4 linked regions of the Arabidopsis thaliana genome follow. The protein of the gene in region 3 interacts with the protein of the main gene of each other region in a pairwise test. Each region holds a gene or a part of one and is shown on either strand. Other genes may lie near its edges. The genes, in order: NIMIN1, CUL3, NPR1 and NIMIN-3.

Region 1 (2,885 bases), about 23 Mb from region 3:
AAAAATTAGCACAAAAAAAAAGTATTCAACAATTAAAAAATTATCAAATCTCTGTGTTATATAAGTTTTGATACTATATTTGAATAAAGTGTAATATACCTTTTTAATTTGTATTCTTTAACTAATTTAAGCTAACTAATATATTTGCTAATCTTATATCTATCAAAACCGACTATCGTTTCTTATCTCTATAGTATTTTTGCAAGAATGTTTTGGTGGATTTGGATAAAAATGCATTCAGGTCATATGGTACATTCCCCTATTAAATAAATATGGTGCACTCTTATGTTATTAGCTAAAATGTTTAGATTATAATTCAGAGTCAACATGGAGGGACGAGTTTTTGAATCAACATTAATAAAAAAGTAAAATATAATTAATCCACCGTTTCAATATGGGTTAAATCATTAATTTTAAGACCACTAATATTAAACATATCAAATCATCCTAATTTAGAAAAAATTATATAAAACCAAAAATGTTATGTGGTATGTATAATGTTACTATATATAAAATTAAACTATAAAATATAAATGTATTAGAGAATGATACAATTTGCAAAACTTTTATATATAAAAAATAATTCTTAAATTTTAAAAATTACTACTTTAAAAAAAAATCATGGGACGCCTAAAGAAATTACAGAACGTGTTTTATTTTGGAATTGGGTTATATGGTGGATGTATTTGAATCAATATTTATAAAATTTTAAAATATTATTAATATGCTGTTTTAATAGGGGTCAAAACTTCAGTTTTTTTAACAATTGTCTCATGAATTCGTGGTATAGCGTTACTTAATAACAATTATAAACTGTAAAATATAAATATTTTATAAAAATAAAATTTGCAAGTTTTAATATATATTATTTTTAAAAATAAATCGTCCCGCGATATACCGCGGGTTAAAATCTAGTTTCTTTTTGTTTATGTAACATCAATAGAGGTAATCTAATTACCATTCATTTAAAATACCAAAAATAGGGGAAAAAATGTTCTTCGTTGGAATCCAATTGTTCCACACAAATTTCACATATACAAATTAATTTAATTTACATACAAGTGGCCGACAATATGAGATTTTATTCGACAAATCTTTTATATAACCTCATCATTCACAATTTAATAGTAAAATAGTACGTTAATATATCAACCTTTTCAAGCATTATGGTATTCTCCATCCTTAGATTCAAAAACATATGCCTGAAATATTAGATCTAACGGTTGATAGTAATAGAGTGCTGTACACTCGGATCTACTAGAATATCTCTCCAAGACCAACCACGAGTAAAGTAAACGCATCAAGTCAAGTTTTTGATGATTAGAGTCTTTCTTTATTTCAAAAGTATATCCAAGTAGATTAGTGTTGTATAGATTACGTCATCATTGTGACATCATCTCGTAACCGCTTCATGTCACGTTGTCATCCCAAACACATCATCATCTGACGTAATTTTAACGTTGATATCTCCGCGTTCTTTTACTCTTTTACCCCTGGTCCCTTTTTTAACAATTATAAAAATTATGATTACTATTTTGAATTTACAGGGAACCAAAAAACCCATTTATAAAGTTTCGAAATTAAATATCCTAACTAACTTGGAAAAATATCTCCAATTTTCGTTTTTTGTGGTTTAAATTGTAACTAGGAAACTAAAAGGACTAAAGAGTAAAAGAGGTGGGGACAGGGTGTTTTAGTCTTTTTCTAAGAAGTTTCGTGATGACTAATTTTTTTCCTTTAAAAGAAAGTCATCAGACGAAAAGGATTATTTGCCTTCTTCACTCTCCAAAATCAATCACTTTCTCTAAATGTATCCTAAACAATTTAGTTTATACAATTATTCCCTAGAGACCATGAGCAAGGATGAGAATGTGGAGAGCAAAGAGACGATCAGGGTTGATAAGAGAGTAAGAGAAGACGAAGAAGAGGAAGAAGAGAAGAAGATTGATACGTTCTTTAAGCTTATCAAACACTATCAAGAAGCACGGAAACGTAGACGAGAAGAGTTAGCTGAAAATTCTGGCGTCGTGAGGAGGAAATCTAACGGCGGAGAAAGGTCCGGTATAGTAGTTCCGGCGTTTCAGCCGGAGGATTTCTCTCAGTGTCGTACGGGTTTGAAGCCGCCATTGATGTTTGTTTCGGATCACAAGGAAGAAAATACAAAGGTGGAACAAGAAGAAGATCAAACAGAAGAGCGAAACGAAGACAAGGCTTTAGATCTTAATCTTGCATTGTAGTAGCAATTAGTTTTAATCTATTTTTAATTGTCCATGTTTCATTTGTTAGCGTTGTGATTATTAAATCCTTCATTTAACTAAAATGTCCGATAATTAACTTTAAAATGAATAAACTCAAAAGAATCGTGAGGCAAAACATCCTGTCAGATGGGATTGATTCGGTAAACCGTAATTCTTTAGAGCAAAACCAAAACCAATAAAATTTATCATTCTGTAAGAATTGAATATTGCAAAGTTTGTTTAAATTTTATGTGTTGTATAATTATCTGTTTAAGAAGATCATTACTTTAAACCTTTTTTGCTGACCAGATTTGTTATCTAGTCAAATATAAAGATTATAACAAATACGCAACTAGTTGCATAAACAAATATGAATCGGACAACTAATAATCCAAAAGTCAACCAGATGACTTTTGATTGTGATTCCTCGGATCTTGAAACAGACTAGACAACTCTGAACTCTTAAGCTTTAACCACCACTTGACTTTGAAAAACTCTCTCAAGGACTCTCCTTGTGATTCATATTTTCCAAAGCCAAAAAAAGTCAACTTCGTTGCAAGAACCAGAAAAAAATGGGGACGACTCTGGGAAAGCCATTTGCCGGTTTTTTTCACCAAGAAGAAGCGAGGATCGTGTTGTTTGGTCTCG
Region 2 (5,596 bases), about 15 Mb from region 3:
ACTATGGATATTGAAATCGTTATAAATCAATTACGATAATTATTTACCTAGTGGCGGCGATTTCTAGACAAATCACAGCTTTACAGATCTCACCCTGATAGAAAAATCAAATTCTCAACACATAAGGAAAAATTATAATCAAAGTACTCGATGTGAAACTTTGGGATTCAGAATCGGATTTATCTTACAACGCCGATGATGGATGAATCGAACTGAGCATCGCAAAGACGGCGGATCTCTGCAGCTTTTCTGATTAAAAGCTTGTTGTTATCGAGACTAAGTTTCCTACCTATGTCGGAGATATCCATATCCTTAATTTTCCGGCGATTGTTACAAGACAAAGAACCAAAGTCAGACACTGTGAGAGATTTTTTCCCCTAGAAATGTCAATGGAACCGATTAGGCTATGAAAACGCTATAAACAAAGCGTTGCCAACGTTTGGCGGGATTTTTTTACGCCTGGTTGAAATTTTAGCCGCGAATGTTTTTTTTGGCTCTTAACCGTTTAAAATGGGCCTTAAAAGGCCTCGAGCCGGCCCAACGTGTCCAGAAGCTGAAATCACATACGGTATCTGATGAAAGACAAAAGAAAAGGAAACAAATGTATATTCGATTAAACCGGTAGTGACGCTGTGTTGGTTCGTTCTTACCGACTACCGTACAGTTCAAAAGATTTTACATCAAACATAAGGAAATAAAGCAAAGAAAGAAACAGAGTAAAGCCTTTTTTTTTTGGGTTGTGGTATTCAACTTATTTAGGCTAGATAGCGGTAAAGTTTCCGGTCTGTACTATCCCTTTCCAAGAAATCTCGTTCAATGAGCGACTCGATTCTCTTCTTTATCTCCGTGGGATTAGCTAGGAACCGTGGCTGCAACTGTTTCGTCACCTCGGCGATTATGTTGTTGTGGTCTAGTATTTTCCTGGACTTCATGATCCTTACGATGGCTGCTTCAATCTGAGGTTTTCTGTCTTCCTCCACTCTCTGTCTCGTCTCTTGCTTCTCCGGTTCTGTTTCCTTTTGGGCAACCACAGTTCCGATCTTCACTTTGTAAAACTTGCTAGTGAACTTGTCGTTCACAACGAACAAATCCTCCTCTCCTATGTCTTTGCTCATGGGTTCTTTCTTTATCACGTTTTTGCCCTTTACACAAGCTAGCGACTGCAAACAGCGTTTAAGATCTGCTGCCGGGATTTCTGTAGCCTGTTCGATCTCTTTGTAGCTGAGTCGATCAGAATTGTTGAACAACATGAGAACACACATCTGGAAAGTCGACACGTTCAGTTCATGTTTCTGACCCTTTCCAAAGATGGCTTTGATATCTGCTGTGCCCATGTTTGTTTGCCAGGACAATCTTCTACCGGTATGTGTCCCAAGGTAGTAAGAACGGAACTTCTCACAGAGAACTGAAACTTCAGCTGGGAGATTACAAGGTACTGCAGGCTGTGTTGGCCAAGAACCAGTTGTAAGTACCTGAACAATAAGTGTAGGTCCTTCTGAAAGCTCGGGGTGACTGCCATAAAACCCACGCATTGTGTCCTCTGAAGTCTTCATGTCAGTGAACATGCCTTCCAATTTTGAAGTGAACTGATAGCCACATTCTGTCTTTAGTTTCACTATTAAACTCCTTTCTGCGTCATCTGACACAGTTTTGCCTGAGAGAAGCCTTTTAGCCAAATGCTGCTTGTAGTACTTCTCAAAGACATCTTTCTCTTGTAAATAACGGAACAGCATCATCACTTTATCAAGGATAACCTCAACATCCACATCGGTGATACCCTTAAGTCCTTTCCGTAGCTTGTCATCAACAAACAGGGAGATAAACTCAGGAGAACGAGCATTCAAGTTGATGAAATACTCGAATGAAGAATTCAGGGCATTCTGAAAGGTTTTATCATTGCCAAATGCGGTGTTGATGATTTTGTCATATTTATCCCGCTCATCCAATAGACGTTGTACAAATTCCACCGGATCCTTTGACTTTTCCGGATCAGTAACCAGTTGTTTTCCCATCTCCCTAAGATGCGAAGTCATAACGTCTCTGACAGTAACAAGACCATTAGTAACCCTGCGAAACAAGTTGTACATTCTACCCAAATCCTCATACTTGTCATTCAGAAGCATATTAACCAGACCTGAGTTCTCCATGTGAACCAGTCTCTGCATGTGGTTGGCAATCATCTCTTTCTCAACCACACTAGTAATCTTCTCTTCGCTCTTGGCATCTAAGTAGTGCGCTACCCTCTCTATCTCTTCAGTAAGGCGTTTCTCTGATTTCTTCAGATAGTCCCCACAATCACAAGATTCAATAAACTCCTGAGACTCAACCTTATAAAACTCAGAAGACGCATCCAAAAACGGCTTCTCAAAATCCTCCTGATACACAGATTCACCCAAATCCATAAACATCTTAATGACATTCCTCATCAACCCCCTATCAATAACTTCACCTATCCGTTCCTTCTGCACTAGATCAAGAAGAGTGTTTAGAAGCCTTGTATGTATCTTAGTGAAATGCACAACATTATCCCTCCACAAGTTAAGCCCCATCGGATGAACATGAGTCTTTTTGGTGCTCTCAATATAAGTCCTATCCATATACATGAGAATGTCTCGAATCATCTCTAACGCTTTGTTGTGCTCATTCCATTTCTTATTAAGCTCTTCTAGAAACGACCCTCCCTGAGCTGCCTCGATAAGCTTGGATTTTTCTTTGAGATGAGAAGTCATAGTAGCAATAAACCCAGTATATAGCTTCTCACCAAACTTGTGCAGGACCATGTTGTACGCATTTCTGAGCCACAATATACACAAATAATTCCATTAACACGAAACCTAGCTAAGTTCCAGAAACATTACCAGTTTCTACAGGATTCAAAGAAAGGCAAGAGAATGAAAGAAATTGACCTGTAAAGTTCTTCGAAACTGAGACCGCTAGCATCTTGATTGTAAATCTGATGGATCGCACGCTCAAGAATCTGCCAAGTTTTATCAGCGTATTTGGGATCCACAACGACTCGATGCTTAAACGCCTCTATCTGAAAATTCCTCTTCTTCTGATTACTCATATTTTGAAACCTGAATCCAAAACAAATCAATCTAAATTCACACAGCAACGAAAAAATTGACGAGCGAGAAGAAAGTATATATGTATAATCATAATGAAAATCAGGTGGATCGAGGAAATCGGAAGACTGACCGGAGAGGAAAGACGGATGATCGGGATTAGGGTTTGGAATTGTATTCTTTGCTTCCGTGAAAAGATTTGGGGGAAACAAAAAGATAGGAAATGGAATAATAATCGAAAAGTTTAAAGGAGAAAGAAGCTTAAGGCTAATTTGCAGCGTCGAAGAGATATAGATAGAGAGGTATCGGAGAAGATAGATTTCGAAGGTGGAGAAGAAGAAGAGGACAGACCAAACGGAGCGGAAGAAATAAAAGTGGACTCTCCGTCTCTGCTGGTGGTTTCCAAACTATAACGTATTTATTAAATTAAAGTCGCGGTTGTCACATTCTCGTCCTTTGGTATATTGGTTACAAAGAATTGTGAAATATCGAAGTCCAAGGATCGATCCCTAGTCGAAGCCAGTTATTTTTTTTTTTTTGACATTGGAGGTTTAGTTAGCTTTTATACTTATGTGGATATGACAAATTGGCACGTCGGTCATTTCATTTAATTGAACTAAAAATATGTCAACTTCTATTTCATAAAGAGGCTTTGAATCCCTTAGAGTGGCGAATGTTGCTTCTCCTCTTTTGGCAGAAGCCATGGCGCTTCATCTAGCCCAACAAAATGCCTTAGAACTCGGTTTTAGGAAGTCACCTTCGCTTCAGATTTGCAAACGCTGATCAAAGCTATCAACTCAGAATCCTTCCCAAAGAATCTCTACGTGATTTTCCAAGATGTTCTTGCTCTTTCGTTTAATTTCGATCAAATTTCTTTTCACTTCATTTTTAGAGAAAAAAACGGTTGTGCATATGCATATGCAAAATCTGCATTAAATTATGCACTTATTGTACCAACTTATGTATCGGTTTAAGTTTCGGTTTAATGAAATTTCAGCTTCTTGACGAAAAAAAAAAATCCCTTTTAATTCATTCACAAAAAAAGTTATATCGTCTGTTACCTTTCTCTTCACCAGTTTACCAACCTTTGTTGCTTGCATTCACTGTTTCGATGCCATATTCAATCGTCTCTATGCATCTGTTTAAAAAATGCATTTCCTCCACAACTTCAGCGACACTATGTTCTAACTTCTAACTAGTTTTTGTCGTTGTAAACACGTCAATGGATCTTCTTCCTTATCCCTGGTCAAGCTCATGATGATATTCTTTGTCTTTGCTTTCTTGAAGCCATTTTCTGGAAAGCAACGCATGGTATATACCATCTTTCTTGTTTTAATCATACAAACTTTGACTTGGACCTATCTTCTTACTTTTCATTGTATAATCTACAAACTTTATAACAATCTTCACCTTCCCTATAAGGTTAACCCAACTAGTGGATTATTCGTATCCACCTCAAGCGCCAAAACATGGTAAGGATCATTGGTAGATTTTAGTATGATTGTGAGGTAGGATCATTGCCGGCTCAAAGTTATGGGCGGTCTAAAGTTTTTTTTTTTTAATAAAAAAATTAGCAGAAGTAGTTGAGGGAACTCGAACACACAACCTCTTGGCTGAAAATGTGACATAAATCGCTGCACTGTAAGGAATTTTTATAATTTTATTGCCCCCAAATATTTGTGATACCTAAGGTTCTTGCATAAATGCAGAACTTGATAGAATACGGTACACACTGGAGTCTGTAACTGTAGAAGTAGAACCAAGTAGCCAACATGCGCCTCATCAAGAAACTTGACGTACGTTTCCGAGACGGGACAATGGTTTGATTTATGCCTTTATGGGTCTTTAACACTTTATGAGAAACAAGGATCTTTAAGTGGATTTAAATATTTAAAATTTAAGAAACAAAGGTCTTTAAGTGAATACTATAAGAGTTTCTTTATTTATTTTTCCAATCGAATACTCATAATTTTATAAATACTGAGACACATAATATTCGGCTAGCTCTAAAACATTGGAGCTGGAAAGTTTGCCTTACGTTACGTTAATTGGAGCTACAAAATACTCATAATTTTGTAGTTGAAGCATGATGAAAAGTTTGCCTTACGTTATTACTTTTTAAAGCATTGGAGCTGAAAATAAAATGCTTGCACGAAATACTAACCTAACACAATTAAGCAAACATATACCAATCACACGTCACGTCTCTCTACCCAAAACAAAATATCACACTTCACGTTATATGACTTATATAAACATATTCTAAACTATTTATCTATCATCCATCCTTCATTGGTTTTCGACAAATTTGATTCCCACAAATTATTTGATATCTTGAGGAAATGAAATTCTTCATTTTTATTCTAGCGTTACAACAACTCTACGTACAAAGTTTCGCCCAAGATTTCGATTTCTTCTACTTCGTTTTACAGGTAATTAAAGTCGATAAATGTCTCTACAAGAATTATCATTGTACTTTGAAATTTTATGTTTGTGTATGTGCGTTGCAATGCAGTGGCCTGGAGCGTATT
Region 3 (5,105 bases):
GTCTCAAGTCTCAATTGGCTCGCTCATTGTGGGGCATAAATATATCTAGTGATGTTTAATTGTTTTTTATAAGGTAAAAAGGAATATTGAATTTTGTTTCTTAGGTTTATGTAATAATACCAAACATTGTTTTATGAATATTTAATCTGATTTTTTGGCTAGTTATTTTATTATATCAAGGGTTCCTGTTTATAGTTGAAAACAGTTACTGTATAGAAAATAGTGTCCCAATTTTCTCTCTTAAATAATATATTAGTTAATAAAAGATATTTTAATATATTAGATATACAATAATATCTAAAGCAACACATATTTAGACACAACACGTAATATCTTACTATTGTTTACATATATTTATAGCTTACCAATATAACCCGTATCTATGTTTTATAAGCTTTTATACAATATATGTACGGTATGCTGTCCACGTATATATATTCTCCAAAAAAAACGCATGGTACACAAAATTTATTAAATATTTGGCAATTGGGTGTTTATCTAAAGTTTATCACAATATTTATCAACTATAATAGATGGTAGAAGATAAAAAAATTATATCAGATTGATTCAATTAAATTTTATAATATATCATTTTAAAAAATTAATTAAAAGAAAACTATTTCATAAAATTGTTCAAAAGATAATTAGTAAAATTAATTAAATATGTGATGCTATTGAGTTATAGAGAGTTATTGTAAATTTACTTAAAATCATACAAATCTTATCCTAATTTAACTTATCATTTAAGAAATACAAAAGTAAAAAACGCGGAAAGCAATAATTTATTTACCTTATTATAACTCCTATATAAAGTACTCTGTTTATTCAACATAATCTTACGTTGTTGTATTCATAGGCATCTTTAACCTATCTTTTCATTTTCTGATCTCGATCGTTTTCGATCCAACAAAATGAGTCTACCGGTGAGGAACCAAGAGGTGATTATGCAGATTCCTTCTTCTTCTCAGTTTCCAGCAACATCGAGTCCGGAAAACACCAATCAAGTGAAGGATGAGCCAAATTTGTTTAGACGTGTTATGAATTTGCTTTTACGTCGTAGTTATTGAAAAAGCTGATTTATCGCATGATTCAGAACGAGAAGTTGAAGGCAAATAACTAAAGAAGTCTTTTATATGTATACAATAATTGTTTTTAAATCAAATCCTAATTAAAAAAATATATTCATTATGACTTTCATGTTTTTAATGTAATTTATTCCTATATCTATAATGATTTTGTTGTGAAGAGCGTTTTCATTTGCTATAGAACAAGGAGAATAGTTCCAGGAAATATTCGACTTGATTTAATTATAGTGTAAACATGCTGAACACTGAAAATTACTTTTTCAATAAACGAAAAATATAATATACATTACAAAACTTATGTGAATAAAGCATGAAACTTAATATACGTTCCCTTTATCATTTTACTTCAAAGAAAATAAACAGAAATGTAACTTTCACATGTAAATCTAATTCTTAAATTTAAAAAATAATATTTATATATTTATATGAAAATAACGAACCGGATGAAAAATAAATTTTATATATTTATATCATCTCCAAATCTAGTTTGGTTCAGGGGCTTACCGAACCGGATTGAACTTCTCATATACAAAAATTAGCAACACAAAATGTCTCCGGTATAAATACTAACATTTATAACCCGAACCGGTTTAGCTTCCTGTTATATCTTTTTAAAAAAGATCTCTGACAAAGATTCCTTTCCTGGAAATTTACCGGTTTTGGTGAAATGTAAACCGTGGGACGAGGATGCTTCTTCATATCTCACCACCACTCTCGTTGACTTGACTTGGCTCTGCTCGTCAATGGTTATCTTCGATCTTTAACCAAATCCAGTTGATAAGGTCTCTTCGTTGATTAGCAGAGATCTCTTTAATTTGTGAATTTCAATTCATCGGAACCTGTTGATGGACACCACCATTGATGGATTCGCCGATTCTTATGAAATCAGCAGCACTAGTTTCGTCGCTACCGATAACACCGACTCCTCTATTGTTTATCTGGCCGCCGAACAAGTACTCACCGGACCTGATGTATCTGCTCTGCAATTGCTCTCCAACAGCTTCGAATCCGTCTTTGACTCGCCGGATGATTTCTACAGCGACGCTAAGCTTGTTCTCTCCGACGGCCGGGAAGTTTCTTTCCACCGGTGCGTTTTGTCAGCGAGAAGCTCTTTCTTCAAGAGCGCTTTAGCCGCCGCTAAGAAGGAGAAAGACTCCAACAACACCGCCGCCGTGAAGCTCGAGCTTAAGGAGATTGCCAAGGATTACGAAGTCGGTTTCGATTCGGTTGTGACTGTTTTGGCTTATGTTTACAGCAGCAGAGTGAGACCGCCGCCTAAAGGAGTTTCTGAATGCGCAGACGAGAATTGCTGCCACGTGGCTTGCCGGCCGGCGGTGGATTTCATGTTGGAGGTTCTCTATTTGGCTTTCATCTTCAAGATCCCTGAATTAATTACTCTCTATCAGGTAAAACACCATCTGCATTAAGCTATGGTTACACATTCATGAATATGTTCTTACTTGAGTACTTGTATTTGTATTTCAGAGGCACTTATTGGACGTTGTAGACAAAGTTGTTATAGAGGACACATTGGTTATACTCAAGCTTGCTAATATATGTGGTAAAGCTTGTATGAAGCTATTGGATAGATGTAAAGAGATTATTGTCAAGTCTAATGTAGATATGGTTAGTCTTGAAAAGTCATTGCCGGAAGAGCTTGTTAAAGAGATAATTGATAGACGTAAAGAGCTTGGTTTGGAGGTACCTAAAGTAAAGAAACATGTCTCGAATGTACATAAGGCACTTGACTCGGATGATATTGAGTTAGTCAAGTTGCTTTTGAAAGAGGATCACACCAATCTAGATGATGCGTGTGCTCTTCATTTCGCTGTTGCATATTGCAATGTGAAGACCGCAACAGATCTTTTAAAACTTGATCTTGCCGATGTCAACCATAGGAATCCGAGGGGATATACGGTGCTTCATGTTGCTGCGATGCGGAAGGAGCCACAATTGATACTATCTCTATTGGAAAAAGGTGCAAGTGCATCAGAAGCAACTTTGGAAGGTAGAACCGCACTCATGATCGCAAAACAAGCCACTATGGCGGTTGAATGTAATAATATCCCGGAGCAATGCAAGCATTCTCTCAAAGGCCGACTATGTGTAGAAATACTAGAGCAAGAAGACAAACGAGAACAAATTCCTAGAGATGTTCCTCCCTCTTTTGCAGTGGCGGCCGATGAATTGAAGATGACGCTGCTCGATCTTGAAAATAGAGGTATCTATCAAGTCTTATTTCTTATATGTTTGAATTAAATTTATGTCCTCTCTATTAGGAAACTGAGTGAACTAATGATAACTATTCTTTGTGTCGTCCACTGTTTAGTTGCACTTGCTCAACGTCTTTTTCCAACGGAAGCACAAGCTGCAATGGAGATCGCCGAAATGAAGGGAACATGTGAGTTCATAGTGACTAGCCTCGAGCCTGACCGTCTCACTGGTACGAAGAGAACATCACCGGGTGTAAAGATAGCACCTTTCAGAATCCTAGAAGAGCATCAAAGTAGACTAAAAGCGCTTTCTAAAACCGGTATGGATTCTCACCCACTTCATCGGACTCCTTATCACAAAAAACAAAACTAAATGATCTTTAAACATGGTTTTGTTACTTGCTGTCTGACCTTGTTTTTTTATCATCAGTGGAACTCGGGAAACGATTCTTCCCGCGCTGTTCGGCAGTGCTCGACCAGATTATGAACTGTGAGGACTTGACTCAACTGGCTTGCGGAGAAGACGACACTGCTGAGAAACGACTACAAAAGAAGCAAAGGTACATGGAAATACAAGAGACACTAAAGAAGGCCTTTAGTGAGGACAATTTGGAATTAGGAAATTCGTCCCTGACAGATTCGACTTCTTCCACATCGAAATCAACCGGTGGAAAGAGGTCTAACCGTAAACTCTCTCATCGTCGTCGGTGAGACTCTTGCCTCTTAGTGTAATTTTTGCTGTACCATATAATTCTGTTTTCATGATGACTGTAACTGTTTATGTCTATCGTTGGCGTCATATAGTTTCGCTCTTCGTTTTGCATCCTGTGTATTATTGCTGCAGGTGTGCTTCAAACAAATGTTGTAACAATTTGAACCAATGGTATACAGATTTGTAATATATATTTATGTACATCAACAATAACCCATGATGGTGTTACAGAGTTGCTAGAATCAAAGTGTGAAATAATGTCAAATTGTTCATCTGTTGGATATTTTCCACCAAGAACCAAAAGAATATTCAAGTTCCCTGAACTTCTGGCAACATTCATGTTATATGTATCTTCCTAATTCTTCCTTTAACCTTTTGTAACTCGAATTACACAGCAAGTTAGTTTCAGGTCTAGAGATAAGAGAACACTGAGTGGGCGTGTAAGGTGCATTCTCCTAGTCAGCTCCATTGCATCCAACATTTGTGAATGACACAAGTTAACAATCCTTTGCACCATTTCTGGGTGCATACATGGAAACTTCTTCGATTGAAACTTCCCACATGTGCAGGTGCGTTCGCTGTCACTGATAGACCAAGAGACTGAAAGCTTTCACAAATTGCCCTCAAATCTTCTGTTTCTATCGTCATGACTCCATATCTCCGACCACTGGTCATGAGCCAGAGCCCACTGATTTTGAGGGAATTGGGCTAACCATTTCCGAGCTTCTGAGTCCTTCTTTTTGATGTCCTTTATGTAGGAATCAAATTCTTCCTTCTGACTTGTGGATCCAGCCTGCTTCACAAGGCTCACCAGGTTGTAGTCTCCAAAAATATCATGGAATTGTAAGCAAAAACAATCCAGACAGAACCTGTGATAGACCCAAGGTTCTTGCCACAGTGATCCGGGTTCGTTAATAACAGCAACTATGTCCGGGTGAGGACTGGAGACGAGGCAAACGTCTTTCCTTTGTGTTACCTTCTCTCTGATATTAGTGAGAAACCAACGCCAACTATCAGTGGACACTTCTTTGGTAAGCGGAAAGGCAAGCGGGAAAAAGCAATCATCAGCGTCGAGTCCTGAGGAAATCATCAATT
Region 4 (3,111 bases), about 21 Mb from region 3:
ATTGGATGGGTTATTGAGAGAAGCCGGGTATAATCCTGATTGCAGCTATGCATTGCACGATGTAGACGAGGAAGAGAAAGTCAATAGCCTGAAATATCATAGCGAGAGACTAGCGGTAGCTTATGCTCTTTTAAAGCTATCTGAAGGAATACCCATCCGAGTCATGAAGAACCTTAGAGTTTGTAGTGATTGCCACACAGCAATAAAAATAATCTCTAAGGTGAAAGAGAGGGAGATCATTCTAAGAGATGCAAACAGATTCCATCACTTCAGAAACGGAGAGTGTTCCTGTAAAGATTACTGGTGAGATTCAATAAATGCCAAGCAGAATGTTTTTTTTTAATCTTAGGCTTAGCTATCAATCCTCGTTGGAGCGTTGGCAAAATGGAGTAATTCTCGCAAACCATAGGAACTTGCTCAGCCATTGATGAGAGTTCTCTCTAAGTTCTTCTGCTAATATATATATATTTTTTTACTGATCTTGTTATCAATGTGCATTTGTAGCATTTTCTTCAATATGGTTAATAAGAAGTGATGAACAATCTTCAAGCAAAACTAGAATTCCATGACACATTTGTTTTTGGTACGTAGTTACTAACATTCTTTGTTGCTTATACAGAAACTGAAGAGCTCTTTGTCTCTTGTATGTATGTATGCTACAGAGAAAGATTCAAGTCTAAACAAACGTTAGTCTCAGATCCTTCTTGCTTTTCCTTAGAGCCATCATACTCGTTGGATGCTGAAGAGCTCTCATTAGCTGCTTTTTCAATGTTGTTGGCCTCTGCTTTATTCATGAAAATGAAATCTTCTGGCTGAAACGAAGGGAATCTACGAACCCTTGCTCTTTCTTCTTCTTCCTGTCTCTTCTTCTCCATGGAGCTGTTGACATATTTCCGCATTTCCCTTGCGTTTTTAAGCACTGTGTACAACTTCTCCATCTTTTCTTCTTCGTCATCTTCCTTCTCCATTTTCACCCTCTTTCTGTCTCTGTCCATTGAACCGCTCTCTCTTCCTTCCCCTATGAAAATGTTTCTCTTTAGTTACATCATTTTCATCCTACTTTGATCATCAACACATGATACATCTGGAAGAATTTTCTGGAGGAATTGGTGGAGAAGATATAATTATTGCCTCTAGTGGGAAGACTAACAACATGACCTTATCTAAAAGTCTCTCAGACTTTCTTCTTTCCTTTGGGTGGCTTTGGAGACTTTTCAACACTATTATGGACCCCACCATGATGGACATTCATATAGCAACATGACATACATGTGTACATATGTACAGTCTACAGGGAATGGCACAGCTTCAAGCTAAACAAACACACTTCACAATAACCATTCAGAATCACTCTCATTTGTTTGTTGCTGCATCTATGTTTCTTCTTCAGTCATCTGCCCATGGGACACCGTGCTTGGCCCAAAGATAGTATGCCGCAACTGGTCCTCGTCCACCAAATTCATACAACTCCGGAGCTGTGTGATGCTTGTCTATCTCTTCTAGAACCGGACTAAGAATGTTCCATGCTGCTGCAACCTCATCGCTTCTCATGAACAGATGATTGTCTCCGTCAATTACATCATGAATTAGGTGTTCATATGAGTCTGGTACTTCGGTTTTATACCTACAGGTTTGATCCAACAATTCAACCAACCATAAGGCGCAAAAGTTCGATTTTTAAAATGTGTAGGAACAAAGATGAGAATGCAAAACTTGCCTGTCTTTATAGAGCAAGTTAAGTTCAGAAGCGTCTAGCTGAAGACCTAAACCAGGAACCTTGTTGTTGATTTTCACCAGGATGGCCTCATCAGGTTCGTCACGTAGAATAAGCTCATTTGTCCCCAAATCTATGTTTATTCCAATATTTTCTCGGTATAGGTTTCCAGGAACATGCCGGAATTGCACATGAATCTCCACTCTTTCAACATTAAGGCACACCAATCAATTGTTATGACAGTTGGATATGTCTATGAGTAGGAATAATTATTCTTACCTGTGTTTAATGAGGCCAGTGCCAACTCTTACAAGGAAAGGTACACCATCCCAACGTGCATTATCAATATACAAGGCTGCTGCACAATATGTAGGGTCTACACCGTTCAAGATCACACCGTTCTTGTCTCGGGAACTGGATTTATACTGGCCAAGGATGACATCACGCGGGTCTATCTTGCGAATTGATCTTAAAACCTTCACCTGCAGAAGCAGGTTTGTCACCAAGTCACTTGACAGAACAAGAGTACACAACTTACATATATACCATAAGACGATTTTGTTCTTTACAGTACAGGTTGACCTTTTCATTTCGGATATCTTCACCATCGAGACTTATCGGAGGTTCCATGGCAAGTAATGCGATTGTCTGAAGTATATGGCTGTGCACTATGTCCCGTATTATTCCATATCCATCAGAAAACCTTAAAAAAAGCAGTAGGAAATTAGAAAATAACATTACTGATTTGTCTAAGAATGCTGAAACAACACAATTTACTCTCACATGCAAAGAAATGGTGAAAATAGAACTATTGTGCCTTACTTTTCTGTTTGCGCAATTGATTCTGATATAATAACCTGGAAACATCATTTATACACAAAGTGAACAAACCAGAATGTGGAAGAGGAAAGTTCAGGCACTATACACAACTACAAACAATCAGAAGGAAACACTACCTGTATATTGCGTATGTATGTTCTGTTCCATAGTGGTTCAAAAACTAGATTTGAAAACCTTAACACTGTCAGATTTTCAATGAGGTTTCTTCCTAACATGTGATCTATCCTGTAACGGGCACAGAAGTGTGAAGAAATATGAACTTGAGAGCTGTGCATGCAGAAAGCAACTAGATTTAAAAGAAGGACCTGTAGATTTGCTTCTCTTCAAACTTAGAGAGAAGTGACTTTGTTAACTGATGAGACGAATGTGAGTTAAAACCAAAAGGTTTCTCAACTATTATTCGAGTCCAGCCTCGTGGTGCCTGAGCGTTATCTCCAATGGTGCATGCCACATCCACCAGAGCTTCTTGAGGTACTGAGAGGTAAAAGATTCTATTTGCTTCTGATTCTCCCTGAAGAAGAAAAGCTGTTAATGTCTTATTCTATCTTGCTTGTCTG

The links.
Region 1: the proteins of NPR1 (region 3) and NIMIN1 interact in binary tests that used the Arabidopsis thaliana proteins (3 or more experiments, as listed by UniProt).
Region 2: the proteins of NPR1 (region 3) and CUL3 interact in binary tests that used the Arabidopsis thaliana proteins (3 or more experiments, as listed by UniProt).
Region 4: the proteins of NPR1 (region 3) and NIMIN-3 interact in binary tests that used the Arabidopsis thaliana proteins (3 or more experiments, as listed by UniProt).

Annotation. Positions count from the first base shown.
Region 1 is NC_003070.9:497,404-500,288, reverse strand, and holds NIMIN1 (NIM1-interacting 1), read left to right. Parts: upstream 1-1,749; 5' UTR 1,750-1,808; coding exon 1,809-2,237; 3' UTR 2,238-2,372; downstream 2,373-2,885. Other genes in the region: ARFD1A (ADP-ribosylation factor D1A), read left to right, coding at 2,810-2,885.
Region 2 is NC_003070.9:9,293,534-9,299,129, reverse strand, and holds CUL3 (cullin 3), read right to left. Parts: upstream 3,566-5,596; 5' UTR 3,199-3,565; intron 3,078-3,198; 5' UTR 3,068-3,077; coding exon 2,907-3,067; intron 2,794-2,906; coding exon 756-2,793; 3' UTR 501-755; downstream 1-500. Other genes in the region: ORC6 (origin recognition complex protein 6), read right to left, coding at 48-94, 189-308; RNS3 (ribonuclease 3), read left to right, coding at 5,408-5,497, 5,581-5,596. UniProt on the Arabidopsis thaliana protein: Component of the cullin-RING ubiquitin ligases (CRL), or CUL3-RBX1-BTB protein E3 ligase complexes which mediate the ubiquitination and subsequent proteasomal degradation of target proteins.
Region 3 is NC_003070.9:23,852,233-23,857,337, reverse strand, and holds NPR1 (regulatory protein (NPR1)), read left to right. Parts: upstream 1-1,679; 5' UTR 1,680-1,930; coding exon 1,931-2,491; intron 2,492-2,570; coding exon 2,571-3,306; intron 3,307-3,414; coding exon 3,415-3,618; intron 3,619-3,728; coding exon 3,729-4,009; 3' UTR 4,010-4,590; downstream 4,591-5,105. UniProt on the Arabidopsis thaliana protein: Salicylic acid (SA)-binding substrate-specific adapter of an E3 ubiquitin-protein ligase complex (CUL3-RBX1-BTB) which mediates the ubiquitination and subsequent proteasomal degradation of target proteins.
Region 4 is NC_003070.9:3,037,254-3,040,364, forward strand, and holds NIMIN-3 (NIM1-interacting 3), read right to left. Parts: upstream 1,156-3,111; 5' UTR 996-1,155; coding exon 657-995; 3' UTR 501-656; downstream 1-500. Other genes in the region: AT1G09410 (pentatricopeptide (PPR) repeat-containing protein), read left to right, coding at 1-307; G6PD4 (glucose-6-phosphate dehydrogenase 4), read right to left, coding at 1,387-1,624, 1,718-1,918, 1,994-2,190, 2,261-2,417, 2,537-2,571, 2,671-2,779, 2,860-3,065.